Arabidopsis thaliana: one gene and its partners. The protein of the gene in region 3 interacts with the protein of the main gene of each other region in a pairwise test. Each region holds a gene or a part of one and is shown on either strand. Other genes may lie near its edges.

Region 1 (7,470 bases), on a different chromosome or scaffold from region 3:
ATAAGAGTGTTCCACGAAGTCGAACTAGGCCGTAAAATCTCCTTAAAACTGCTATTAGCTTCGATAAGTCTCCCATTCTTAACATACATATCAACAACACTATTCATCAAAACAACATCACCTCTCAAATTCTCTTTACCAATTCTTTCATAAACCAAAATCCCCAGCTGAATATCACCCACTAACCCACAAGCTTTCAAAACCGCAGAATACATAAACTCGTTCGCCGCTTCTTCTTCGGAGTCTAACATTCTTCTGTATAACTCAATAGCTTTATTGGGTTTTCCATCACTCGTATACCCAGAAACCATCGTTGTCCAAGTTACAATATTTCTCTCAGACATTTCATCGAACACTTTATGTGCATCACTCAACAACCTGAAATCCACATACATTGAGATCACGTTATTCGCTATAAACACATTTTGAGAGATCCCTTGCTTGATTACATGAGCTTGAATTGATTCTCCACGCTTAAAGGCTTGTACTTTCCCACAATGACGTAATCCTGCTGCTATAAGCTTCAAGTCCATAACCATTCTCCAGTAGGAAAATTTTTGACAATTCCGTTACATTTACAAATTGTATAGTCTCCACGTAAAACGGAAGGTAGTTTTATGGAAAAACTAAAAACGGCACGCTGTTTAGTACATGAATTGATGACCGTAAAAACGGTAGGTAGTTTGTTTGGTAAAGGGAAAACGGCACGCTGTTCAATACGGTAGTGGCTGCTATAAGCTGAATTTTCAATAATTCGGTACTTGACATTGACAATTACAAATTGTAAGGTCTTAACGTAAAAAGTAAAAACGGAAGGTAGTTTATTTTAGAAAATAAAAACGTTACACTGTTTAATACAGGAGGGAAGATCGTAAAACGTCACGATGTTCACTATAGGAATACAAGAACGGTAGATATTATGTTGTGGAAATTCCGGTAGGTATTATGTTGTGGAAATTCAATACGGCAGGCTGTTCATTGTAGGAATATACAAACGGTAGGTATTGTGTTGTGGAAATTCAAAACGGCACAATGTTCAACATTGGTGTGAAGAAAAATCTCATAATTTAGGATCAATGGCTGATAAAAAAAAAATCAGATCTGAAACTTTCTCCGTCGTCGCCGTCTTCCTTCACGAGCTCCTCCTCTCTTCCTAAACTTCAATCTCCAGGTACTTTTTTTCTGGTCTTTCATTCTGTTATTGTGTTTGCGATGGCTTCAATTTCAGTTTCCAATTTTGGTATTGTATTGTTCTTTGTAATTTATCAGATGAAAATGAAAGATAGTCGTTGCACAATTATACGTTTCGATTACGGAGGATGTTATTCGAAGAACGGAGATGATATACGATGGAATCCGAAAGAAGATCAAATCTATACTTTAGTGATGAAAGGAGCATTCGAGGAGTTTACTTATTCCATGTTGGTTGATAGAGTATGCAAGAAGATTAGTGTAGATGAATCCGCGACGATGTTGAAGTTAAGTTACGTTCCGTTGTTAGAGGATCCGAAGAGGCAAACGTATATTTTGGATGATGAAGATGTTTTAGGATATTTAATGGAAGGTGATAGTAATCAGCGGAGGAATGTTATGCATGTGGAAGTTGTTATTGAGCAAGTTTCGGGAGACGATCGAAGAAGTGGAATTGCGAATGATGCGGTGTTGGTTAATGGTGAGAATGATTTGAGTGATGGAGTTGCGTATATGGATAATTATGAGATGTTTGTTGATGATGTACAAGTAGATGAGGAGGTTGTGAATGTTGAATGGGAAGATGGGATTGGTTTGAGTTTAGGTCAAGAGTTTGAGAGTAAGCAGGAAGTTCAAGATTTAGTTGAGAAAGCTGAGCTTCTGAACTATTTTGAGGCTGCTATAATCAAGTCATCACCTGGATTATACGTGTTGAAATGTCGTGGTGGTAGTGGTTGTAAATGGTATCTACGAGTTGCGCAGGGTAAGAATTCGGATCGTTTGTCTGTTAGAACGTACAACAAGATGCATACGTGCTCTCGGATAACTACTAGTACACGAAGATGTAAAAGAGTCGCTACACCACAATTAGTTGCATCTGTTTTGCAAGAGAATTTTCCAGAGGGGTTCGATACACTAAGACCGAAAAACCTCATAGATTTGGTTCGAGAAAAACATGGCGTTAAGGTTTCATACGCTACTGCTTTGAGAGGGAAAAAACAAGCTGCAAGAGATTTGCGGGCTAATTCACATACTCCGTCAGATTGAAGATCAAGTTAAACCTTTGCATTTTTTTTTATCTCATGAAACCAAACGTTGAGGATTTTTGTTGAAAAGAGTCCAGTTTAGGAGTAGTCTCAAATTGTGAACTCTTGCAAAGTTCAAGAGTCTAAAAATGTCTCATGCTTTGGAATATCAATCTTTTGCTGGCATCATTAACCTTGGATTCTTACAAAAACCAAGCAAAGAAATTGTGTGATGACTGACACAGCATTTATGCTTTATTCACAGGTTTCGAATTCGAATTGACACATCTATTATAGGTGAATTTCAGACTTCAAACGTTCTCAGTATCTAAATACAAAAAGCTTTGATTAGACCCAATTACAAAATACACCAGAATCATTGTTCCTTTGATTTTTCATATTCCAAAAGCATCGTTTTCAACACTAAGTAATATGTAAATATATGATATATCCCTTCGTTTATTCTTGGGCGCTCCACTGTCCACACAAACAAGGATTAGCCACAGCACGAGCCACATGCAGGTAGGGAATCTGAAAAACATCAGATTTGAGTCAAAATCATTCACAAGGTCTATGCGTGTTTTCTATCATCAAATGAATCAAATATCAAACTCATCGCGGGTGACTTACTGTGGTCAGCTCCACGGATATCATTCAAACCACGAACATTGTCGAGGCCCCCACGAGGAGGTCCACCACCCCTACCACCACCACCACCGCCACTGCCTCCGCCTCCACCACCACCGCCACCCATGCCACCACCCCACTTCTTATTAGGCTTAGAGCCTTTCCTGTATGCATCTGATTTCTCCATCTGTCCAATAACACTCTTAGGTCAGTCAAAGCTTGAGACAGCTTATGGAACCTAAATCCAAGAAACGAAAGCAGAATCATACCGAAAACATGGTTACAAAGAAGACTTGTATTAGATTAATGATGGACAAGAAGAAATCTTTGATCGTCCTTAGTCTCCATATTGGCCTCTTCGCTTTAACCACACCTGGTACATGTTCCAGTGTTTTTCAATGTCAAATACAGTTAATATATGCACCATCTATCTCTGTTTTCAGAATATATCTCCAGCTATCAATTAAAACCCCAAAAAAACAAGATACACAGATTTGAAGAAGCTTCTACATTCCCTATAAGACCCAAAAATCCCTCCTAAACTCCGACGACAAATCTCTACAATGCTAGAAGAACGTGAGACGTGAATATAGAACACGAACTCGGTTAATGCGCTTATTGCATTTGTCCAAAACGCTGTTGCTTGTCCACAGTCATACATTAATATCGAATTGAGCTTCTATGATCACAAACTATTGAACATGATCTCGCTTTACGCTAACTTTATAGAAACAATGTCACCTTACAATTACTCAGCCATAATCAACACTCTTTCACTAACTTTTCCCACTATAAATCTCAAAAGTTTTAACTTCGTTTAAGCTTAGCCATTTAGATATTCAAAGTCTAGAAATGTCTCCTGCTATGGAATGCTCATCGAGCTTTGTATTCATATCAGTTTTCTGAGAATCATATAATAATGGAATGATTATTGACCTTATCTAATTTCCATCTTCCATAAACCTATAAAGTTTCCCATAATGGTGACACATCATCCCGTATAAAACCTCAAAACCCTCTAAACATTCATGCTCAATCCGAATTCTGACACATAAAACCTAACTTCATAGATATACTAAAGCAAAAATTCTGTAGAGACAATGAATATAGCATTACTATAGTTATGAATCTAATTGACCTAATTTAAAGATTCATGATCAATCCAAATTCAGGAATATAAAACCTAACTTTTACATATACATCAAATTCACAAATTCTGTAACAATCAAAGCTTAATAGTTATGAATCTATGTTCAAGGAAAGAACAATTACAGGTTTGATTGAAAAACGAACAATCAGATCGAATTTAACCAAATTGATGCCAAAAAAGAAATCCAGAAATCGAAAAGAAACAGAGAGAGAGAAGAGAATCTCATACCTCCTTCGACGTACGCCATTAAAGTAGAATTCTGGGTTCTTCTTCTTATTCGTCAACAGCAAATCTCCAGAGATCAATTAATTATCCTCCAAATAGCGATTAAGGTAGATTTTATATCGTCTCTTTTGACTCTTTGACGTGTTTGTGTTAGAAGTTTCGCGACGTCTACGTGGATTTGTCACGTGGCATACTCTCATTGGAAACTGTGATCCTTCTGTTTTCCCATTCTTTAAATTTCTGTTTCATTACGTGAATAAATTGGCAGGAAGATGATTTGATTCGTTTTATAATCTAAATGGTCTGGTCTACAAAATATTCTTTTTTTTTTTTTGTTAAAGGGTTTGTCTATCAAAAAATTCAATCCAAATGTTTTAATAAATATTGTTCGTTTCCATTTTTGGATATTCAATAAATTTTTGTTTGTTTGGGTAATTTTTATAAATTTTCATCTCTATTTAAATAATTTTAACCAGAAAATGACTAAAATATCTATACTTTAATCAACTTTTAATTTTAATTTTAGTCTTAGCTATATTAATTGAATTACTGCTTTAAATATATTTACAACTAAATATTTTTCAAATTATTATTTTGAACATATAAATTATTTTTTTGGGTTTTGACAAAAAAATATAATTTTGTGGTTTTGCCGAAAAATATAAGATTTTGTGTTTCTTACGGAAAATATGATTTGGCAGAAAATATAATTTTACGGTATTGGTGGAAAATATGATATTGTGGTTTTGGCGGGAAAACATGATTTTACAGTTTTGGTAAGGAAATATGATTCCGCAATTTTGGTGAAAAAAATGTGATTTTACGGTTTTGACAAAAACATAATTCGATTTTTTGATTTTGATGAGAAAAGATAATTCCATAATTTTCCGTGAAAATCATGATTTTATAGTTTTGGCAGAATTACGGTTTTAGCGAAATTTACGACTTGAAAGGTTTTGACAAAAACTTTATTCTCCAATTTTTCTGGTCATAGTGAAAAACAATTCCGTTATTTTTCCGCCAAAATCGTGATTTTTTTGTTTTCGTTGAAATGTTATTATGCAATTTTTTCGCAAAAAACACAATTTTGACCCAAAAAAATTGTTCGGAAACAAGCTTTTTAAGATTTTCGTAAAACGCAATTTTGCAATTTTAACGGAAAATTATAATTTGTGATTTACGATATTTTGGAAGAAAATTAGTGCAGATATAGAATTTTTAAATATAAAATGAGAAATTAACAATATTTGATATATAATTATAATTGGGAAAAATGTCATTTAAATTATTAGTTTACCATTTTTGTTGGTTTAAAGCATGAACTCTGGACCGGGTGATTTAAATCCTCAATTTTATGTTGACTTTGAATTTAATCATGAATTCTTGTTGACTAAGCCAATTGAGGCACAAATCCTCTCGTTTTTACGCCATTAGTCGATCTAGAGACGATAATTACTTTGAATTCAAAGAAGAAGATGAGAGAATCCGAAGAAAAAAAGAGAGAAAAAATTGAAAACTGATTTTGGTGATTTGGGGTTTTTGATTAAGGAATTTCTAACGATGTGCGTTAATTGACTTAGTTAACGAGAGTTCGTGATTAAATTGAAAGTCAACATAAAATTAGGAATTTAAATCACTATGTCTAGAGTTCATCCTTTAAACCAACGAAAATGGTAAACTGATGATTTAAATGACATTTTTCCCAATTGTAATTGAGGGAAATTTGAATATTTGCAATTTTTGGAAGAATCATCTCTATCTGACTACACCATTTAAACTCATCCAAATTTTTGGATGTTTTTTGGATGAGTTTGACAAATACATCCTGATGGCTCATCTCAATGATGTGTTTAAGTGCACTAAACGAACATAATTTTATGTCTTCATCTAGATGGTCCATTTGGATGAACAAACGAATAACACCTTAGTAGTTGAAGTTTGATTACTTTATGAAAAAGGACATCGAATAGTTTGATCTTTTTTTTTTTGGTAAAAAGTGAAATTTTATAGCACTTTATATATTTGACATAATAATTAGAAAAATTTGAAACTAACTGTAAAGCTCTACAATTTTTTTTAAAACAACACAAAATACAAAAGTTTGCTGCTTAGTGGTTATGGACAAGTAACAAGTAGAATTACCGATTTCGGGCTCGTGAAGCTTGGATATTTGCGTGGTTGCAGCAAAACTGAAGAATTGGAATCCTCATCGTAGTTGCCACAAGCCTAAGTATCCAAGATCCGTCTTCAAAACCTGAAGATAGAAGCGTACAGATTTTCCGAGAACTAATGGAAAAAAGCATAAGCAATCGTGGATTTTTTACACTAGCTCATCGAATTAGCGATAGCAATTAGACTTATTCACCGCATCATTTCAACACTTGGCAACCAAGTCAATGCACCAAGTAGGTAACGTTCACAACAAGAACCTTAACCGAAACACCTTAACAACAAAACTTTACCTTAATGTCACCGAAAATGAAGCAATGAACGAAGACAAGCAGTCATGAAGAAGCCATAACCACAAAAATAACATAAGTTGACAAAAAAAGAAATTATTGGACTATAAGCAAAAAATTTCAACTTGTCTCACCAAATAAACATACAACATTTGGTAATCAGAAATTAGGATCGATAGATTTAGATCAATATGTTTTCTCTTTCTCTAAGAGGTTTTGCCAAAAAGGAAAAACACAACCAATTCTTAAGGTTCTAAAATTTCTTGTAGACTTTTGACAAATATACAAACAAACATTTGAAACCGGACTCGTATTTTGACATGTTTCAAATGCATCCCATGTCAAAACATTTGCTCTCAAATGGTAAACTCTTTGAGAAACTAAGAGTAATAATATAGTTTCTTCATTAGTTTCCCTCGGACAAGATTACCAATTGAAACAAAAAATGTGATTCAAAATATAATGATTTTTAAATAATTAATATTATATAATCGAATATTAAATAATAAAAAATAAACTTAATTGGTCATATTTATTTTAAAGACTTAAAAAAAATCTGAGATTCCACATAGATATTCAATAATGACATGACTCTTAAATTTCTTTTTGGTTGACAAAAAAAGATACTAAGATGATAACCCACTTTTGTAATCTCAATTAATATATATGTAGGATTTTCAATTAAAAAGAAAAGAAAAAAATACAATTCTAATTTTCAATTTTCGTTGTTCAAATGATATATAAGAATTCTTACTTTGAGGACTTCAATTTGTGAGCTTTCGTACGATTGTTT
Region 2 (8,713 bases), on a different chromosome or scaffold from region 3:
TTTCACTCATGGGTTTATTTGATAATTACTAAACCACCGCTTCTGATTATATACTTGTGAGTTAAACTAGTAGGAAACTACAAAAGAAAATTGCAATTTGATGTACATGGTATTTTGATAATATACACAAGAGAAAGAACAAAACTTTCTTTCTTTTCACCATTCTTTAATAATAAGAAACACAAGAAATTGGTTTTACAATAAGCTTGGCTTTGATGATTTTGGTCAGAGATATTTTGGATACAATCAAACAAATAAAGCCACCACTAAGCCTTCGCTTCATGGTTCTTCTCTCACCAGTAGTTGAACTGTTCCAAGAACAAGCAGAACAAAAGATCAGTCATAGAGGTTATGTGAAAAAAGCACAAGACTTGATGGCTTGTGTCTCAAGTTCCAAGAGTCTAATGAAAGAAAGACTTACCAGCTTCTTCTTCTTCTTCTTTTTCTCGATGTACGCCACAAGCTCCTCCTGACGACCAAGAGAATCATCCAAAGCCTGCATTGTAACGAAAATTAGTATTAAAAAGAACTTTAATGGAGGAAGTTTATCTTAATGATTCAGAATGTATGTACCTTCTTGGTGGCAGCAAGCTCTTGCTCCAATACATTGGACCGGCTAATGGCAGCGTTAAGCATCTCTTCCTTATCCGGAGGCATAACTGTTGGCTGCGCGCTTAAGACGGTCACTTTCTGTTCCAACTCAGCCATTCGTTTCATAATGGCCATGAAATCTTCCCCTGAGATTGCAGGTACAGTCATTTTCTCTGACTGCATCGCACTCTTGTTCATTGATGCATCATCGCAGTACACGGGGCTCGAGTACAAGGTTGACTCGGTTAGTTTCCTTGGGACGTTTTTAGTCACTTTAATCATAGTGACAACACCCATCACAAGAGCCATGACCCCTGTGAAAATAGGTGACCTCCCTCCTTCTGTTGTAGCGTTGTTGCACGCCTCTTGAATGGCGTAAACTTCTTCTGCTTAGAAGAGAAAGTACAAGAAGCGTTAAAGCTCCATATGTCTTAGCTTTAACATACAACAACCATATTGCAAGAAAAAGAGATGCACAAGAGTCATCATCTTACTCTTTGAGAGGGAAAATTTGTGAGCTTCTGGCATGTTCCAAGCTGGGTGAGCGGCCGGGACCTGAGTCTCGAGAAACGAATAACGATTAAGTATTAAAAGCGAACTTGATATCAAGAGTTTAGAGGTTGGCCATTCTTACAATTTCGACCTCTTTTGAAGCCTTTTCCTCTTCAGAAGCCGGCTCTGTTGTAGAGTCATCTTCCTGGAAGATCATTGAATATAATTAGCATTGGAAGGAGTGATCAAGATTCAGGTAAAGGAAACTATTCAAGAGATATAGATAAGCTCAAAGTAAGCAAAGACCTCAGGGATGGTCTTCTCTCCAGAGTTTTCAGCTTGGGATCCTTTTGAGCATTTGTGATCACCATTGTGAACTCTCTGTAAGAAAAAATGAAAAATCAAGTTCACTCTTGTCATTTATGTTGCTGTCACTATAGTTGTCTTAAGAATCATTCACCTTCATGATCTCTGGATTTTTCCATGGGCCTTTGTCAGAGCGCATGCAGCCACCATTGTCAGCACAAGTACATGAACCTCCAAGAAACTCAGGAAGTTCACTGGTCACAAATTAATAAGAATCAGTTTCATGTTATATAATATATAACATAGATTAATTTGTATGCTAATCGTCTTGCATAGCTCACCTTTCATCAATTATCTCAAGCAACTTGCTTTGGTACTTGTTGCCAAGAACCTGGTATTCAAACAAAGTATAATTACTTAAATTGTGAAAACTAATTATCATTCAGAAGAAGATTCAATAGTAAAAGGTTTTGAATACTTGCATGGATTTTTGCTGTAGTCTTCGGGTCAAGGAAGGACTTAACCGTGTTCCACAACATTCTGAATCCTGAGCCAGCATTGATGATAAACATCCTGTTCAAGGTCTGATCCAAAGTCGTTACAAAGTTAAACTACTGGTTCATAGACCAGTGGAAAAGAATTGAGCATGCAGAGATATAAATCACACCTCAGGATAGTTGTCACCATCGACCTTTTGAAGACGAGTAATCAAGTCTCTAGCAGCCTTGTTGAAGTTTTTCAGTCCCTGTTATAACAAAAACAAGGAAAGGCATGTTTAGTCACATACTGGAAAAGCATTGAAGGTCTTCTCACATAGGTTTTTTACATACCACTCCTTGGACATCAAGAATAGTTGTGCTCTGATCAATGTGCTTCTTCGCGGCGATAGAGCACGCTGGGAACTTAACATTGAAGGTCCTCTCAAACTCCATAACATGGTAGTTGACATACCTATCCATGGTTGTGACTTGCATCAACTTGGTAGAATCTACTAAACCAAGCCTCTCAATGTACACAGGTCGTCCTTCCTTGTCAACTCCATGGTGTCCTTGAGGGTAGTATTTCAACACTTCATCAATTTCCTTGAAATCAAACTCCTTAAAAATATACAAAACCAAAGAAGAGAATGTTAGTACTACTCAAAGAGACCATTTTCAAATCTGCAAAACGTTCCTCTAGAATAATAATCATACCTCCATGACAGTATCAGCACCAAATTCTTTCCTCCATCTAAGCATTTCAGTCCACATCTGTTTGGTTTTCTCAAGATCAAATTTTCTAGCCTTCAAAAATCTAAGCATCATATGGTAGTCATCGTGTTTCTCCGGGAGTAGCTCATCGAGAATAAGCGATTGGCGAAAAGCATCAACGGCTTTCAACTCCTCTGCGTCATGCACATCTTCGATGATCTCCACAGACATCACTTTGCTACTTCTTCTTCTCTTTGTCATTGAATACCTCAAATTCTTAGAAGAGCTCCTCTTCTTAAAAGAACCCATCCTTGGTTTCAACTCGGCATCTAAACACAAAACAACATCAAGAACAAGAAGATAACAAAACAGAGAACTAAAAAATCTCTTCATTTTTGTTTACTATACCTTGGATCAAAGTCATGATTTTGCCAGATAGTTGGAATTAGGCAGGTAAGGGCACGAGGGACGAGCACTCTAACGAGTGTCTTATTATTTTTAGCCAATGCCCTTTGCCAAATTCCTGTAAGAAATTCACATTCCCTAATTACAAATCAAATTCGAACAACGATAACGATGAACATGAAGTTAAGAAAACAGAACAAAACAGAGAGACAATTAAAAGATAAATTACCTCTGCAAAGAGGAAATGAGAGGAAGGAGAAAGATAAAAGGAGAGTGAGATTGCTCCGAAAATCTCTCAAAATCGTTCCATTGGATTCTCAACTCCATTAACGTCGAGGTAAAGCTCCACCTCATATTCTCTCTTTCCCCAACCATTGATTCTTCTTCTTTTTTTGGTCACTGTTTTGTTTTTGTTTTTCGTTATGCAGTTCTAATTATACAAACTTAGAAACAGAGGAAGAGAGATTACCTGTCCCTCGCTCTTTCGTTCACATTATACCGCCCACGAGTGTTATACTGACACGTGTCAATTATGCACGAGTGTTATACTGACACGTGTCAATACTATTGAGATTTGAGAGAGGCAAAAACACTTTCTTTTACCGCAAGAAACTCAGAAAGCCTTAAGAGGCTGATGTCAGCACATGAACTTTTTTGTTTCCCATAAATTGAAAGTTTTTGAATTTCGGCAACAACACTAAGCTACTTGATCATTGAAGGGTATGAGTAGGAAAAAAAAAAAAAGAACTCAGATGATCAAATGAAATAAATGTAAGAACAAGAAGCCATTGTCTTCGATAATCCTCCTTCGTCAATTGAGCTTCAGATCAACCACAAGCCCATCACTGAAAGTGGAGAACCAGTTTAGGAATCTGCTATGAACATCTTCAAGCTACTGACTCTGCGGATTCTGTTGTCTACTATCTCACACGGATGTGTTCAAAGAGTTCCCTTCAGTGTTGTTGTTCTTGAAGAAAAAAGAGTTTCGGTGTTTCAGGACTTGAGTAGAAGCTCTGAAGCAAGTCTCTTCAGTGACTCCGACGCTTTAAGAAGATCGGATTCCGAATGTCCCGCTGAGACGTAGAGTTTGATTCCCACAGGTAACCGGCATTTATCAAGAAATGATCTTTTAGAACTCACAACCAACAATGAGTCTTCCTTCAGAGCCTGCATGCATCTAGTCATGTCAAGAAACGGGGACAGGGTCTAGATTTGGTTTTGCAAAGAAACAATGAACTTACACGGTCAGCCATTTTCTCAAGTAGAAGCAAATCATCTTTAGCTGAACCGCTAGATTTCTCTAATTTTAAGAAAACAATAGGTGATTCCCGGTTGCTTGTTAATGACATCCCCTTGATATCTGACAATCCTGCGTTGTTCCCAGCATTTCTTTTTCAATTAGAGGAAGATAACAAACTAAATCAAACTCTAATTGTTGCTAGATTAGATTAAAACTTGAAGATCAAACCTTTCCATAACAGAGCAACATTTTGCTTCAGCTTAACTAACATATCAGGGTTTTGATCAATGACATCAATGGCGGTGATAGCAGCACTTGCAAGGTATGGTGGTAAAGAAGCAGAGAACACATATCCTGAACTGCTAAGTCTCTGTGCATTTGAGCGTCCCAGAGAAAAGTTTCTATTATCGGTAGTTTTTTAATTTTGTTTGTAATTAGTTAATCAGCATGATCGATGTTTACCTGGTAATCGATGATGCGGGCATTCCCAGTGCAAAATCCACCTTCTGTGGCTAATGCATGGCCCATTGCAGCAGTCACAACATCTATCTTCTCAATCTGTTTAAAGATAAACCGCCGTGAAATTTTTAGCATCAGGTTTGGCAAATGAGAACACTACTAAAATGTGTGTCAATCATACTTACAGGGACACTATGATGCTCTGCAAGACCTCTCCCAGAACGGCCAAGCACACCAAAAGAGTTGCTTTCATCCAATATAACACGAAACCGATACTTCTCTTTTAGTTTTACAATCTCATCCAGAGGCGCAATTTGACCTGAATTCTGTAGATTTTAACATACCCAAAGGCAAATGGGTAAGCATCACAGTTCAGGGAGAATTTTCAAAATATGGAAGCAGGAGAAGAAAGAAAACTGCCAGGTACTTGATATACAGCTTCAGCTACAATATAACGCCTCAAGTTCTTTGAGCGCTTGTACTTTGTCATGATTTTCTCAAGGGTAATTCGAAGGGATTCCATGTCATTGTGCTTGAAGTACACAATTGTACTTCTTGAAAGCTGAAGTCCATTTTGTATTCCCCAGTGAACACCCTCATCACTAAGAAAATAGAAAAGACAAGAATGAGTTTAATATCGAGATAAAAAAGTTTCAAACAAAGATGTTCAATGTAATCCTGGGATTTCTACTAACGTAATCTAATAAGTAGAACGATGTTATAAGAAATTGTGTACTTACGCAACAATGACATCGCCTTTCTTACAGAAACAAGGAATTGTGCTGAACATTGTGGAAAGTCCATAAGAGTAAAGGATTGAATCAGGAGTACCCAAAAATTTGGATATTCTGGTTTCGCAGTCAAGGTGGACATCTAGTCAAGAGAAGTAATCAAACAGTAAGAACCCTTTCCAAGCGAGCCAATGGATGAACCAAAGTATCTATTTAGAAAATTATTGTCTTCTTACCAATTGTACCATAGAATCCACGAGGCCCACAAGAACCGACCCCATATTTTTCTAATGCAGAAGTACATGATTCCTGGCATAAGACAAATCTTAAATAAAACTATTCAAACAGAAGAGAGATTGTATTGAAAACAAAGTAGCTTCACGTTACCAGCAACTTCTCGTGGCCAATGAGCCCAAGATAATTAGCTGAGGCAAAATTCACCACATCTTTTCCATTAACTGTTGTATGCGGTCCAGCAGCACTGTATGGACCCAACAAAATCTTTAAGCATAACACAGAATAAGGCTATACAACGAACTACATAGAAGTCTTCTACGTTACCTTTCAAGAACTGGTGGCTCATGCTTCATGTCTTCAGTAATTGGCGGTATAAGAGGTTCAGGAACCCACTCATCACACAACTCATCTATTTCCTGAGTAATAAAAAACCCCGAAAACTCAATACATTTCAACTATACCACACATCAAAGATGTCACCACGAACCAAATCCTATGTGATCTATCAAACCAATATCAAGAAAGGATCTGAGACAGAACCTGCTCGGTCAATGGTCGCTTGGGAGGTTTATAACTCTTCCGAGTGAGGAGAATGATAATGACAACACCCAACAACCCTTCCACAAAGAAGTGCCCTGGAAAACGAAAACAAAAACAAAAAAGTTGAAATCTTTAGTAATCTCAAATAACCAACAAACTTGGATAGACAGACAAAGTTCACTTAAAGTTGTTTCTTCAAATCTATACCTCGGATTGGGACACCAAACAAGACAACTCTAGCTGAAGGACTCTCCAGAATCATAGTAACCCAATTCAAAGCAGCATTAAACATTTCCACGAGATTCGAAGCCATTGCTAATTTGCTTTAATAAAGCTCTGTACTTTTTTCTTCTATAGTATTAATTTGCTCGACGAATCGAGCATAAGAGAAGCTAGCTCAACTTTGGGAAAACCTACAAAACCCAATCTTCAATTAGTATTACAAATTTTCAAAATTCACAACAAAAAGTGGCAATTTTGAATCCAAATTCGACCCAAAAAAAAACTATCAGGAAAGATCTGGCATCGGATCACTGAGCAACGAGAAATCGAAATCTCGGAGAACAGATTAAGAAAGTATATATGATTACAAATAGATCCGACAAATAAACGAGGAACGTTACCTGATCCCAATTGGATTTTGGGTGGCAAAATGGACAAGGAGCAGAAGGTATCGTGCCCACAAGAGTGTCAAACACACGAGGAGTGTTGTTCAAATTCGGCGATGCAAAAAGATTGACTTTCAACGTTTTTTCGAGATTTTTGATAACGCAGACGGCAAAAAAAAAAAATCAATTTCAGAGAGAAAAAAAAAAAAGTAAAAGAAGAAGACGAGCGGATCTGTCTATGTTCGTAATACGTCAGTAGAATCCTGGGCCCAGATCTGTGTGTTGGTTCATCGATACGACGCCGTTTAAGTGTTAGATATGGGCCTAGAGGCCCAATGTTTCAACAGCACACACTGTGACACAGTCACTAGTAAGCATTCATCACCACCACTAAAGTCTTAAAGGACAATGCAAAGAGAGAAAGAAAGAGTACTAAAGCCTAAAGGTAAGGAAGAGACAGAAAGAGGAAAATGGTGGTCACACACACCAATCATCACCACTCATTCTTGTTTAGCTTTTTTCTAACCTTCTTGTAATCATATTCGACCCCAAAGTTCCCCCTACTTTTTCTGTAATATTTTGTAGCATTTACATTACACTATACATATATTATTCCTATTCTGTTCAACCATAGTATCATATCATATTCATATTTACATCTCACGAATTAGTTGCTTAGATACGACGTCATTTTAATGGAACGGTCTTAGGTTTTAAATATGGGCTTTGTTAGAGGCCCAATGACTAACTTTTAAGTGATTAACTTTTCACCACACTTGAAAAAACAAAACGTAAGCAACAAGAGAGAGACGATCATGGTTGAAGAAGAGATTATATGAAGAAAAAAGATTGATACGTTACGGTTTTGCATTAATCCCTCAAGCGACACGCGTGCGTCCCCCTCGGCCCTCTCTCTAACCACAAAAACCTTATCATACCAAGTACCAACACACAGTCTCTCTCACCTAACAGAGCATTTACACTACCCTTATGACGCAACAAGCATTCATGACCACCACTAAAATCTTGAAGGCAAGGCAGAGAGAGAAAGAAGATTACTAAAAAAGCCTTACGGTAAGGAGAAAGAGAGAAAAAGAGAAGGAAATGGTGGTCACACACACACACACACCAATCATCATCACTCATTCTTGTATAGCTTTTTCTACCTTCAAAAGTCAATCAGTCTTCTTCCTCCTATCTCCCAAAGTTTCCTATACTTTTTTGTATGTTTTGAAACATTTACATTACAATTAAAAATATCATCCATATTCTATTCCACGATTTTTCATATAAATCACCAAATAGATTCTAGCAAGGGTAATTTTTCTAATGAAATTTAGTTTATGTTTAAACGAATAAAAGTCCTTAAACAAGAAATGGCAATAGAGTCCACCACGCAAAGCAAGAACAGAGTCTAGCACTGATAGCAAGAACAGAGTAAAGAAAGTACAAACATTACATGAAGCCATCATGATGTTGTTTGACTAATTTATCCTTTATATTTACATGAAACATTATCCTCTACTTTGTTTATTCCTATTTTTGGTCACTTTGGACTACACCTGCCATTTCTCCTTAAACTAAATTCATCCAACCAAAGAAAAATTTATTTTCGTTGAATCATGACCAATGATGAACGAATCCCACATCGTATTTTCAAGAAAGAAAATAGATGGAAAAGTAAACACACAAAAAAAAAGGTAGGGTAATGGAAGAATGAAGTGACAGGCCAAAGATTTCTCCTTTAAGAAAAGCAAATTCTAACACCAAAAGAACAAACCCTAACCCAAAATTATACTAAATTTCTTCACTTTTATTGTTATTGTGATGGATAAGAAGGATATGGAGAGAGAGTTTTACATGACAGGAGGAGATGGAAAAACTAGTTATGCCAGAAACTCTTCCCTCCAGGTA
Region 3 (7,166 bases):
TCCTTATTACTTTTCCCTTCCGAAAATATGAATTTACAATTCGTTTTGTTCAGAAACCGCTTCATGATGTGCTGGGTTTCCGGAAAGAGATAAATGGCTCCACCGTTGACGTTTCACTTCAGTGGTATTTTACTCTTCCTTCTACATACGTCGTCTAATATCTGCTCATGTGATGAACAGATTATAATCTGGGTTGCATTTAGCGTAAAACCACATACTTGAACATTTTGGCTGACTGATTTTATGGTTTACTTTATCTAAACTGGATGGAAATATGTTGTACCGTATGCGGAGTTGATGACTGTATATACAGTTCTTCTAGACGAATATGTGTATATCATGGTAGCTATCCAAAATTTATATGGATCTAAGTATATAATCTCGTTATTGTACCAGGTGCTCAGATGCCTATTCAGACACGATGCTGGGATACGCGAATAGTATTCGGACCATAGATGGTGGGACACATATAGAAGGTGTGAAGGCTTCATTAACAAGAACTCTAAATTCCCTTGCAAAAAAGTTAAAGGTTATCAAGGTGGGATACAACTTACCAACTGCGTTTTTTCCACTTTATATTTCCACTCTTAGAGGCTTAGAGCCTTTTTCCCCTTCTCTTTTCCTCCTTTTTCATGGAAACTGCAAATGCCTAATTGCGGTTAGTTGGTCATTATTGTGGTTGAAAGAGTCTTCTGAGATAATGTAGGTCAAGGGTTATATTATCTATTCCTCTCCATGGATTGAGACTAAATTTAAATACTCATCTGCACTTAAAAGACATGCTTTACGGACAATTAATAATGTACTACCATGATTGAACTGTGAAACATGCCAGTTATAGAGGTTGTTTTTTGCTTACATTTAAGCATTTATCTTGACCTGTTCTGAAAAGGTTGCTAACTCATAGTGTAACTTATTGTTGTTGGTTATGTTTTCAGGAAAAGGATATTAGCTTAAGTGGGGAACATGTTAGGGAAGGATTGACCTGCATTGTCTCAGTCAAGGTTCCGAACCCTGAGTTTGAAGGTCAAACAAAGGTACTAGGGAGCATAATGATATGTTGACCCTCATTTTTGTCAACAATCTCTGGTCAGCAGGCCATAAGTTTTCTTGGATTCTGTTGATCATTTTAATTTTTTTGTGTCCCAAAGACAAGACTAGGAAATCCAGAGGTGAGAAAAATTGTTGACCAATCAGTCCAGGAGTACCTCACGGAGTACTTGGAATTGCATCCGGATGTACTTGAAAGCATTATTTCCAAATCCTTGAATGCGTACAAGGTGCGACATTGAAATACCTGCTCATACTGTCACATCTTCACCTACACACACATGCACTCAAACACTCAAACATGTGTTTTATCCCTTGAGAAGCATTTTCTGATATCTGTGATTAGCGTATTCTTTGATTGAGTATGTGTCTCCTACAGTATGTCTAGTTACTAACTTCAACCAAATGACCATGGATTTTCCTTGCTGACTCTTTCTTTTTAGGCTGCTCTGGCTGCCAAGAGGGCTAGGGAGTTGGTAAGATCAAAAAGCGTTTTGAAGTCATCCTCACTTCCTGGGAAACTTGCAGATTGCTCATCTACAGATCCTGCAGAATCTGGTATGCATTAACCAATATGAAAGTGCCTTGTAAGCTGTGAAAGTTAGTCAGTTTATTGACATCTATCTCCTATGCTACCAGAGATTTTCATTGTCGAAGGAGATTCGGCTGGTGGCAGCGCGAAACAGGGTCGTGACAGGCGTTTCCAGGTAAAAAAAATCATTCTGCTCAGCGTGTCACTAACAGGCTCTGCTTCTATTTTGTTAGTCTGTAACACTGTATTTCGATCTATGCAGGCAATTCTTCCTTTGAGAGGCAAAATTTTGAATATTGAGAGAAAGGATGAAGCAGCAATGTATAAGAACGAAGAAATTCAAAATCTTATTCTTGGCCTTGGTCTTGGAGTTAAGGTAATATATCCTTTTTCATATCCTGCTGTTTGTTGGTATGTTCGGAAAACTCAGTTTGACATAAAACTTATTTCAGGGAGAAGATTTTAACAAGGAGAATCTGCGTTACCATAAAATTATCATCTTAACAGATGCAGATGTTGATGGTGCACATATCCGGACACTTCTGTTGACCTTTTTCTTCAGATATCAGGTACTAGTTTAGTTTGATAAAACATTAGTTGAAGTAGCCTTGATTGCTGATTGAGTTATGTGAAATTTAATGAAATTTACTTTCTACAGAGAGCCTTGTTTGACGCGGGTTGCATATACGTTGGTGTTCCACCTCTTTTCAAGGTAAGCTCTTAGTATCTATAATCTTATGCTTCAGATTGAACGGAATTTTTTTCTAAAGCTAGTCTCTCTGTGAAAACGATCAGGTTGAGAGGGGGAAACAGGCGCACTACTGCTACGATGATGCAGCTCTTAAAAAAATCACTGCTTCGTTCCCTGGAAACGCATCCTACAACATTCAGAGGTTCAAAGGTAAAACATCCTACTTCTCACATCATGAATGTGTTCTTTTGGAAAGGATAAATAACTATGAAAAGTAATGTATAGTAGTTGTTATGTGTTAGCTATTAAGATACTCTTGAGTGTGTGCATAACGAAATCTAGATTAGTCTCAACTATTGGATTCTATGTAATGTTTCTTGCTTTTGCATCTGCAGGTTTGGGTGAGATGATGCCTGCGCAGCTATGGGAAACAACGATGAATCCAGATACAAGGATATTGAAGCAACTAGTTGTTGACGACGCAGCAGAAACGAATATGGTCTTCTCATCTCTGATGGGTGCTCGGGTAAGCCAATGAATTGCCAGACTCGGACTCATGATAATAGTCAATAAACTGGCATAACTCATCGTGACAATGTTATGTTCTGTGTATGTTTCAGGTCGATGTCAGGAAGGAACTCATCAAAAGTGCTGCGACTAGGATGAATCTGGAGAATCTCGACATATAACACAGCTTATAGTTATTGCTTCAGCTATATACAAACAACAAAGAAACGACTCTGGTGAAATGCAAAGGGAGACATCATCATTTCAAGGTTAAATCATATAGTCACAGGCCAACAGGATTTTGTTCTTCTTCTGGCCTATAAAGGACAAAATTCATTGTTAGGATTATCTCTTTCAATGTCAAAATTTAGCAATTCACAAGGCTCTTTGTTGGGCGTTTCTTTCCATTGGAACTAGAATTTTTCTAGAGACAAGAGAAATTTGCATTCACTAGGTATTTACTATATATTATGACTTCAACAATTTGGCATTCCTGAAAATCATGCATGCGACGAAGTTAAAACTAATGATTAGAAGGAAGATGAGAAGGTAACTATTGTGCAATGAATATCTTCTCTGCCTGTTGTATTGATTTTAATTGTATTCGAGGTTAAGTTTTGACTGATGTTTTACTAGCGATCGCAGAGTGATCGATAATTAACAAGTTTATTTTTCGATTTGGTAGGTATATAGTGAATTAAACATGATTTTTGTTCTTCCTGAACAACCTAAAGCAGTGTTATGAACGCATCACGCATGTAACAACCAGTCAACCATATTAGTGTGACTTTAATTCATTGAATAAATGAAATTTTTTTATTTTCAACAAGGCTTGTAACGGTTGATAAATCTACTCAGAAAACTTCTTTTTGTTTGTCTTGCAAATACAAACGATACGTTTCAACTCTTTTTTTGGCGTCCAATAATACTTCTTAAAAAATAATTTGTTTATTGTCATGAGCTACACGTGGGAAGACAAGTCCTATCCATTATTACTACACACTACTCCAACATTTGCCCACATTTTGAAAAAAACATTTTTTTGTAATTCAATTATTCGACACAACCAATCCCATCTCTTGTTTCACTTCCGCCCTCCATCTTTCTTCGTGATTGAGAGAATCTTCAACGAAAGAAAGCAACTTTTTTTGGGTGAAATTCACAGAACAACCAAGGTTTTTCTTCTTCTTCTTCTTCTCCAGTTCCTACAGGTTTACTCTTACTCATCTTCATCTTTGTCTCGTTCTTGCTCTTCAATTTCTGGTCTTTTTGTTGTTCTTGTCTTCTCGCCAAATATACTAAGATCTAAGTTTTATATCATTGTAATTATCACCAACGAACTGTTAAGACCAAATTTGATTACTCGAAATGGTTTTGGGTTTAGGGTATGAAGAACTGATCAAAAGATTCAATTTTTTATGAAGTCAACTTTCATCTGCAAATTGAGCAATCTCAGATTTCGATTGTGTTTCAGAATCATGCCTGACAAGAACATCGTAGAGGACGTTATCGGTGATTTGGTGGATAACTTCACGGAGACTGTTCAGAAGAACAAACATGGTTCCTCCTTCTTCGAACAAGAAGATTCCGTCAGTTCTCGTTTCAACCGTTTGTTTGATCGCCAGAAGCCAATTCATCATGTCTTAGGCGGTGGCAAATGTAAGAATTCGTATACAGGAACATAAATATGAGATTGGTTTTTCTTGTAATTGAGTATTGAGAGATTCCTTCAGCTGCTGATGTGTTGTTATGGAGGAACAAGAAGATCTCTGCAAGTGTTTTGATGGGAGCTACCGCAATTTGGGTGCTTTTTGAATGGATCAATTTCCATTTCCTGTCTCTCGTTTGCTATGCCCTCTTGCTTGGTATGATTGCACAATTCGTTTGGTCTAACGCCTCTGGATTCTTAAACCGGTAACTTGTTGGAGTGTTGTTGTCATTATTATTGGTACCTTGTGATTGCAATCTAACACAATGTCCTTTAATGTCTCAAAGCAGCTCACAGTCTAGAGTGCCTCGCCTAGTTCTTCCAAAGGATTTCTTTGCTGAAGTCGGTGTGGCCGTTGGAAAAGAAGTTAACCGCGGTTTGTTGTTTCTTCAGGACTTGGCTTGTAAAGGGAATTTGAAACAGTTCCTCATGGTGCGTTGTTTGTTTCAATAACCACAATCTTGTTTGTATAATGTATTAGCACTTTCATTACTATGCTAAGATAGAAACTTTGATCACAATATCATTTTTCAGGCTGTAATCGGACTATGGGTAGCTGCAATGGTCGGGAGCTGTTGCAATTTCCTAACTGTTTTGTATATCGGTGAGTGGTTCTTATTAGTGTATCCTCTTTTGAGATTGGAAGTTGAGTAATACAAGACTTTAAAGGGATGCATTTTATGTGTGTGTGTGAAGGGTTTGTTGGGGCACACACAATGCCGGTTCTGTATGAGAGATACGAAGACGAAGTGGATGGTTTTATGGATTCTATGATCATGAAGTTTCATAGTCATTACAAGAAGCTTGATACTGGGTTTCTCAGTAGAATCCCAAGTGGAAAGTTTGGATTAAAGAAGCGTGAGTGACTAAATCACTCAAGCATTTTCTTATTTTACCTTGTTTGTTGTTAGAACAATATGGATTATGGTTTGCTAAATGAATGTTTTGAGAATATTATTCATTCATGTAGATTTTGTGTATTTCCTTACTAAACAATACCTTGTCCATGTATTTGTCAATACCTTGGTTAATAAGAGAATCATCATATCTGTCAAAATTATACAAGTAGATTGAGAGTTCATTAACTCAATGTCTAAAAATGTAAGACTTAAAACAAGTTTGAATCAAAATTATTTCACAAATCAAAAGTATGGTTTTCTTATTTCGTAAGAATCGTTGACTAATATTGACCGGCTGGCTAATAAGAAGATCAGATAACTCTACAGGTATGGGATCCACCATTGTCAAACATTTTACACGTGTCAGCTTCCTGAGCTTCGAAGCCTGAATGTTAAAATTAAAAAATTTAAAAGAAAGAAATATAAAAAGAAGTAAATCAAAGAAAATGGAGTAAAGAAATTGATCCACGATCGATCAACAAAGTGAGGTTAGGTTCCATCTCCACCTCTTTCTCTCTCGAATCTTCTCCGATTAAAGGTGCTCTTTTGCTTATGAAATTTGTGTTTCTTAAGCTAATCGAATTTGTTTTCTTGATCGTTTTGATGTTCTTTTTTTTTTTTGTTATTGTTGTTGATTTGATGTGATCCGGTTGTATTTGAAGACGAAATCGATTCGAAGTGTTGAGGTTTAGTTTGGGGTAAAATAGATGATTCTCAATCTGTTCTTATTTGTGAATTATTTTGTATTTCTGATTCTCTGTTTTTTTCTGTTTTTTTTTGTTTTTTTTTGGATTTGAAACCTAGAGAAAGAACCTTGTTTCATTAGTGGGAGATAAAAACCTCTAATGATTTGATATAAATTTTTGAACTTGTACAGATTCGAATCGATTTCCCTTGTACCCTCTCTTAATACTGGTTCTTGCCTGACAGGAACAAGGTCTGGTTTACAAAAGTCTCATAGATGTCGAGTGGAACAGTGAGAAGGGTTTCACGTCAAGATATACAACTGGTAATAACAACAAAAATAGATCATGATGAAGGAAGGCCTTTGGTTTCATTGTCTGAATCTGCGACAATTTGAATTCGTCCTCTTCCAACTCAATAAAACTTACTTTTGGTTTCAGGTTCAAAACCTTATAGAACGATGCCTTCAACTTTACATGAATCAGAAAGAAGTTGTGGATACTTTACTAGAGCAGGCTAAAATCGAGCCTGGGTTCACAGAACTAGGTAGCCACTCAAATACTCTGTTTTCTTTTCATAGAAATTAGCATCTGATTCTGTAATCCTTGTTCATTGATGAATCTGGATTCATTACTGTGAATGAAAAGGTATTAATATATCTATTACCAGTTCAGGACATCTGTAGCCAAAATCATGTGTGAATGATTTTGTTGTTGCTTAAAACTGAAATCTTATGTATTGTTTGGTTCAAGTGTCACCAAGAAGGTCTTATTGGTCAGAACCTAGTTAGGAAGTGCTCAATAGATCATGAAATATGAGAGAATATGTATAGTAGTGAGTATCGATGATAAAAAATGGGGATTTATGATAACACGCTTTCTTTTTATGTTTAAAAGTTTGGCAGAAGCTTGAAGAAGAGAATCGGGAGTTTTTCAAAGCTTACTATCTTAGGCTAATGGTTAAACACCAGATAATGGAATTCAACAAGTTGCTTGAGCAGCAGGTTCACCACATGCGTCAGATGCATCCAACTGGTGTTGCTTCTGTCCAAAACACAAATGGTTCTCATCTTCAATCAAGTAAGATTCGTTTGGA
Region 4 (6,630 bases), on a different chromosome or scaffold from region 3:
ATAGATTCCTAACATTATGAAGTTAGTTACTCCTAACTTAAACATCATTAAATTTGAAAAATGTAAGATGGAAACATGGTTATTAACTTATTATGAAGCGGTAATGGGTAAATAAGTTTATTATTTCTAGTAAACAAAATTGTTTTCATTATGAAAAAAAAAAAAAAAAAAAAAAAGTTTTCACTACACATAATTCAAGCAAACGAGAGTTGTCTATATTTAAAAAATGTAGAAAGGATCGGATGGTATATGTGTATTCATCATAAATCATTATTAAAATGGGTATATAAATCATATTTAATATATATGCACCAACCATGTAGTATTGTTTTTGTAAAGTACTGTTTGTCTGTCTCTTATAATTCGATAATTATTTTAAATATTGCTCTATTGAACTACTACTTGTTCGTCTTATTGTATGTTTCTAAGTCAACTTAACTTTGGATAAACTCTAAGATTTAATTTATACACTAAACCATCTGCAATATAGTTTTATTTTGGATCGATCCCACTGCTTTACAGATCAGAAGTAAATAATCCAGCCGTAGTTGCACGTGATTTTTAACAATTTTAACCATTCTAGTTATATAAATAAGTACTCGTGTTGACAAAGACTAATTATATATAGTCAATCATTAGAGGTAACTTTGTTTTATAATCTCTATCAAGATTCGGTTATAGAGTCTTTGATACGGTTATATACATCAAGGAAATATATTCTAGGTCAATGAGTGAAACAAATAACGGTTTTGCTTTATTAATGGTTATACTTTTCTATTTTGTTGTGTATTCTAATTATGCTATAGAGAGTTACATGTATATAAGTATAAAGTTGCGACTTGTGATTTCATTTACCAGTACATACTCAAATGTATAATTGATTAGGTAGATTACATGTCACAATACTCTGGATCGGTTGATAAAACAACACCATCCAAAATCACATATAAACAATGATTGATTGGTTCTTCGTTATTCAAATTATATGTGGTAATAATAATGATGATGGTGATGGTATAAAATATATATAGAGAGAGATTTAGTATTTAATCGATATCTAATTGTACATTAAATGTTTTGTTAATTATCGTTGTGAATGTAGATTTAAATAACATGAAATATAATTTGTAAGTTTCTCGTTATAATTGTCTACATCATAATTCATAAGTTTAACCTGTGGCATGTAATTCAAATTTTGTAGTTAATAAAAGAAGAACCAAAAAAAGTATAACAAAGTTGTGATGTGAGGAATGTTGACTTTAGATTTGGTTGTAGCATATTGTCCATTCTAGTTTTTGGAGGTCCTTCTAATTGCACCATACCAGAGTTTGGAAGTATTTCCTTTATTGCAAAAACAGAATTTATAGGATCCATATTCATCCTTTCGATTTTGACTTTCTACAAAAAAATGTGACCAATATTTATTGATCAACTAAAAAGTAACTATATGAGATCATGATATCCGACATTGTTTGTGTTAAAGTCGTGTTGTCACTCAAATTCAGAATATGTATATTGTTGATGAAAATAAATAAACTAGGTCATTATGGGTGTTGTATATCAAATTAGTTGATTATTAAGGAAATTATATATATGTTTTTTATGATAAAACAAAATTCAGAACACAAATGGTCAACTAACATCAAAATTAATAAACTTTATGTTAAAAAAAAAATGAGAAATCACTTAATTTTAAACAAAAATTTCCAAAAACATTATTTATTAAGAAACAGATGGAATAACTAATAAACACTTTTTCTCAAAAAAACAAATATTAATAGAACACTTAAATGAAAGTCGTGTAAGAAAGAGGCATGGCAACAAGAAGGATTAATTTTGGTAATTTACCTTAACCATAGTGTTGTTAGTTTGTTAGATGTTCGGTTGTACTAAGCACCAACACTACAACCTTTTCTGTTGGATTCTACCATCCTTATTTTTAAAAATTCTAACATCAATAAAAGAAAATATATACTCATTTTGTAGAAATACATTATTGCGTCTATTGATGTTACTAAATTATAAAATTGATCAGAATATAATTTAAAAATTAAAACTGTGATAATACAATGTCATAATAAACAAACAAAAAAAAACACATCAACATTTCAGCAAATAACCAAAAATAGACGTTCAACAGTCATGGTCGACGCCAAAATATCAATTATTATTGATGGACATATACTTTTCTCTAACATTACATAATCTTTGTATAAACTAAAGAAAATAGAATGAATATTCGTAAGAGACCTTCAGTAGATATCACATATAAAAAATGTTTTGAGTCTATGTTCTTGCTTTTACACATATGTACGGTCGAGTTCCTTTTTGTTGGAGTAGCTTAGAATCAAACATTATAGCTCACTTTATAAAATGGTTATAACTCCAATTATTAGTAGACTAATACCTAATTACAAGTAGACTTTATACCTATAACTATTAAGATTATTCCATTTAAGATTTTAGCAAGCTTTTTCTAGATTTATTTCTCCATGGACTATATGTAGATTTATATAAAACAAGAAGATGTGTTACCTGGTAAACGTTAAACCATTCAACTAAAAATAGATATGAAAATAAAATTGCAAATTTCCAGGTGTATTTTCTCGTTGATTTTGTTCGTCTAATGGAAACTCAATAATAATGGTTCACGCTTAAACTATTACCATATGCCATTAATTAAAGTATATTATTGCGAGTGGATATATTTCTATATATAAGAAAATCAGAAATTTCAAACAAGGAAATGGAGAACTCCCTAACCACCAAGTCCAAGTCAATAAGACTGCACACCAAATGCATGCCACAGGTTGGACAAAGTTTGATGATTTCTTCTATCTAATTTCCATTTTCTCTTGATTATTTTAAAATAAATTATTAACTTGGTTAACATATTATTGTATTGGTACAAGAACACAATTGGTAATTAATAAGTATTCAAGTGTTCTAGGATAGAGTTTTTTTTTAAACATTCTTATTTTTCATTAAAGCTAAACTTAGTAGGTTTGGTAAGCATATATATGATCAAGTCGCCTCAAGAAAAGTTAATAGAGTTTGGAATTTTCTCACTCAAAAATCATTTTTGTTGTTTACATTATGATCAAAAGCATAACAAGAGTACCATTTTTACCAATATAAATTTGGTTATTAAAAACTTTACTCTTTTGAGCTCTTATCATTATTCAATTTCTTGAAAGCTAAGCCTCCAGTTTCCTCAAACCTATCATTATTAAGCTTTCAATTGAATACTAATACATGACTCACTCTGTCACAATTTAATATATATATATATACACAAACACACATATATATATATACAATGGAGTGTATAGTAAGCATCCAAAACCAATTAAATCACTAAGCATATCACACAAGTAAAAGACTTTTCTAGAATATATGTATAAAAATTAAATCACGAAAAGGAAATTCATTTATCCTAACAACATTACCTACGAAGCAAATCTATATTATACCCAATAAAACCTAACAAGGAGGTGTTATGTATTATTTTACTCACACGAAAGATTCTATTCCATGCAAAAAACTTTGCTTCACAAAGAAAAAGAAGAGTTTTAATTTGATTAGTTTGTCTAAACAACTCCTCATCTTCAGGCAAAATCGGTTGGCCTATCTCCATTCTCTTCTCTAACACCCAACCCACAATTAAATTTTAGCAAAAAAATATATAAATAATATAAAAATCATTACATATTTTATATACATATATATAGATGACCTGCATTGAGAAAACCCTTTCAAGATTTGGTGGATCATTCAAGAAACACACATATTCAAACTTCTCCAAAGAAAAGAAAATAGCAAAAACTAGAATGAAGAAGACAATGGAGGATCCAAGCAAGATCATGAGAAGGTCAATTCACACTTTCCTCCAAAACTACCACCGTGTCACCACCGCAGCCGCCGTGGCCCTCCCTTTCTCCGCCGGTCTCCTCCTCTCTCAGCCTTTCTTCTCTTCTTCCTCTTCCACCCTTCACATGAGGCTTAACATGCTCTTCCGCGGAGCGGGTTTCTCTTCTTCTCATGACTTCTTCAACATCTTAAGCCTTAAACTCTCACAAACCCTATCTTCCTCTTTATTCACTCTTCCTTTCTCCCTCACATTCCTCCTTTTATCCAAAGCTTACGTCATCAAACTTCTATCAAACAATCACTCTGCAGATTCCTCCTCTGTTTTCTACCTCCGGCTTCTCAAAACTTACGTTTGCAACTTCTTCTTCCTTCTCTCTGCAAACGCCTCTGCTTTTGCTCTGTTTTTCTTAGCATACAATACCCTTGAAGCCTTTGGATTCTCTTCAAGAAACTTCTACACTTTCCTCTCCCTATCCTCAGCAATCATCTACTCAATTATCATCGCAAACGCCTTTGTCATCTCTAATCTAGCCTTGGTTTCATCACCTTCTTCTTCCTCGGGAGGATACACAAACATCCTCAAGGCGTGTCTTCTGATTCGCGGAAGAAATTCAACAGCAATGGCTCTTGCTCTGCCTACCAATCTCGGCTTAGCAGGAGTCGAAGCCTTGTTTCAGTACCGAGTCATGAGATCTTATTACAATGGAGACAGAGATATCATATCCATAGCTCTTGAAGGAACCTTCATAGCTTACTTATACGCTCTCTTCTTGGTTCTTGACACCATAGTCAACTTCCTCTTTTACCAGAGCTGCATCAAAAACGAGGAAGATCAAAATATCGGTAGAGAAGACGAGTATTCAATCAAGATCCAAATCAGCGAAACAGAGAACACAAAGATACACATCAAAGGATCAAAGAACTTGCAAGAAATCTTGTGACTCTCTTGTGTTGGTTGATGTAATTATTACTTATACAAAAAAAGTGAAAAACTTTATGAGATTATTGATTCTTTAAGGATAATCTCAAGTAGCTTTCACTTCAAAGAAGAGCAAAGGTACACACACAGTAAAGAACAATCACAGGATCTGCAAAACTTTTTCTTCTTCCTCTGTTTCTGCTTTTCTTTATTTTAGTCTCTTTTTTTTCCACATTGTAAAGTCAAATATACCAGAAATTTTAATTAATGCAAATCTTGGAATTCACATTTGGTTAATCCTACAGTATAATTTCATTGCCGACAAAATATATTAATTAGCAATGATTTTGATTACTTCCTTAAGTTATGAAGATGTTGACTAGATTCACACTTTAACAAGAGTGAAGAGTCTTTTGTTTTTGAGCAAGGATAAGTTCAAGCAAAATCTTTCATTACAAAGAGAGAAGAAGAAATGTCACAATTATCTTTAAATAGACGGTAGAGGCGAAAGCAATTGAACTTTTTGTATTTTTCGTTGAATGAAAATCCTAATAATACATTGAAATTGTGTTAATGATAAAAGCTCAACTTAAAAAGACAAAAAATGGCTAGTGGGTGGTCTACATCACTAATCTCTCTACTTGAACCTCTTTAACAAAAAGCCCTTTAATACAATAGTTCAGTACTACCTAAAATTTCTTCTAATGGAGAAATTATGAATGAATCTAATTTACTTTTATAGGTTAAAAAGAGTGGAATCCGGAAATGTTGCATCTAAAGAGATCAAGAAACAATTAAGCACAAAAAGATGAATTTTATAACAAGCAAAATTTTGTAGCTTTCCAAACATACAAAACAATGTAATCATTCATGGTCCATATTTAGGAATTAGGATCAAGGGTTTATAATCCCAGGTCCGACCGACCGAATCGTATAATCTGGTCCTATCAAACCAAAATTAAAACATTTAAACCGGATTTTTGGTTGAACCGGCCGGTTCATGGGTTAAGCGAAACCTCTAGGGTTTTAATATTTCCAGAGTTGGTTGAGAGCTTCTTCTTACTTTTACTTTTCCTCTGCTCGTAGACAGCTTTGTGCTTGAGACGATTCCCAGTTTCTGCGATTCCAAGTCGAAGATATAACCTCTCCTATTTGCGTCTCAGCTTCTACAGAGCTTTTAGGTAAGCTCCTCTGCTTGTATGATTCCTTTTAATTTTCAAAATTCACTGCTTTCTCTTGCGTATCTGCTCAAAGTCTCTCCCTTTTTCATTTAATCGTTTCTCTTCCTGAAACATTCGAACTCATAAACTAGTTTGATTCAAAAGTTTTCTTGCTTTAAACTTGTGTTAGCTCTAGAATGTTGTTCTTTGTAATCTGTTTGTGACATTGTGGTGGAGATGATGAATGTTAAAGTAAAAGGTCTGAGCAGGTTATGAGTAAAGTGTGTGGCTTTTGATGTTTAATTTAGTTACGAGGAGTCAATCTTTGAACTTTATAGGAGAGGGCCCTTGTCCATGTCTTGAGCCATGGCATCTGTGGCTCCGCAACCTCTCCAACAATGAACCTGATTTGTGTGTGCAATCTGATGGGTCGATTTTTAAAGGCTTGGGGTTGCTTTCTATCATTGATTGTCAATCTAGAATTCTCCCTATATACATTTGTCTCCTTGTGCTTCCTTATCACCAATTAGCTACCCTCGTGATTCTGCACTGATCAAAGACCCTTTGACTGATCCACGTGAGCTGTTTTTATGAGATTATCTATAGGTCTCTGTTTTTTTTTTTTTTTTTTTTTTTTTTTTTTTTTTTTATGTTTGAAGCTTTTGACAAAGCTTGTTTGAT

What was found.
Region 1: the proteins of AT3G10260 (region 3) and AT4G08230 interact in a two-hybrid assay, tested with the Arabidopsis thaliana proteins (one large-scale study listed by BioGRID).
Region 2: the proteins of AT3G10260 (region 3) and LCB1 interact in a two-hybrid assay, tested with the Arabidopsis thaliana proteins (one large-scale study listed by BioGRID).
Region 4: the proteins of AT3G10260 (region 3) and AT5G61340 interact in a two-hybrid assay, tested with the Arabidopsis thaliana proteins (one large-scale study listed by BioGRID).

What each region holds. Positions count from the first base shown.
Region 1 is NC_003075.7:5,185,335-5,192,804, forward strand, and holds AT4G08230 (glycine-rich protein), read right to left. Parts: upstream 4,461-7,470; 5' UTR 4,241-4,460; coding exon 4,222-4,240; intron 3,217-4,221; coding exon 3,113-3,216; intron 3,031-3,112; coding exon 2,847-3,030; intron 2,748-2,846; coding exon 2,713-2,747; 3' UTR 2,451-2,712; downstream 1-2,450. Other genes in the region: AT4G08210 (Pentatricopeptide repeat (PPR-like) superfamily protein), read right to left, coding at 1-539.
Region 2 is NC_003075.7:17,216,389-17,225,101, reverse strand, and holds LCB1 (long-chain base1), read right to left. Parts: upstream 7,194-8,713; 5' UTR 6,815-7,193; intron 6,795-6,814; exon of another isoform or gene 6,686-6,794; intron 6,605-6,685; 5' UTR 6,505-6,604; coding exon 6,399-6,504; intron 6,287-6,398; coding exon 6,192-6,286; intron 6,068-6,191; coding exon 5,976-6,067; intron 5,896-5,975; coding exon 5,802-5,895; intron 5,724-5,801; coding exon 5,651-5,723; intron 5,557-5,650; coding exon 5,424-5,556; intron 5,286-5,423; coding exon 5,111-5,285; intron 5,010-5,110; coding exon 4,869-5,009; intron 4,783-4,868; coding exon 4,687-4,782; coding exon of another isoform or gene 4,663-4,686; exon of another isoform or gene 4,595-4,662; coding exon 4,453-4,594; intron 4,354-4,452; coding exon 4,226-4,353; intron 4,152-4,225; coding exon 3,978-4,151; 3' UTR 3,477-3,977; downstream 1-3,476. Other genes in the region: SFH12 (SEC14-like 12), read right to left, coding at 294-308, 422-496, 574-977, 1,086-1,146, 1,226-1,288, 1,390-1,464, 1,544-1,643, 1,731-1,780 and 5 more; AT4G36470 (S-adenosyl-L-methionine-dependent methyltransferases superfamily protein), read left to right, coding at 8,627-8,710. UniProt on the Arabidopsis thaliana protein: Component of serine palmitoyltransferase (SPT), which catalyzes the committed step in the synthesis of sphingolipids, the condensation of serine with palmitoyl CoA to form the long chain base 3-ketosphinganine.
Region 3 is NC_003074.8:3,169,601-3,176,766, reverse strand, and holds AT3G10260 (Reticulon family protein), read left to right. Parts: upstream 1-3,774; 5' UTR 3,775-4,198; coding exon 4,199-4,439; intron 4,440-4,513; coding exon 4,514-4,694; intron 4,695-4,778; coding exon 4,779-4,920; intron 4,921-5,022; coding exon 5,023-5,092; intron 5,093-5,184; coding exon 5,185-5,354; 3' UTR 5,355-5,545; downstream 5,546-7,166. Other genes in the region: GYRB1 (DNA gyrase subunit B), read left to right, coding at 54-124, 397-538, 939-1,037, 1,152-1,280, 1,494-1,608, 1,690-1,757, 1,845-1,958, 2,035-2,151 and 4 more; AT3G10250 (histidine-tRNA ligase), read left to right, coding at 6,349-6,396, 6,512-6,617, 6,968-7,150.
Region 4 is NC_003076.8:24,660,245-24,666,874, reverse strand, and holds AT5G61340 (uncharacterized protein), read left to right. Parts: upstream 1-3,657; 5' UTR 3,658-3,731; coding exon 3,732-4,811; 3' UTR 4,812-5,196; downstream 5,197-6,630. Other genes in the region: AT5G61330 (rRNA processing protein-like protein), read left to right, coding at 6,540-6,555.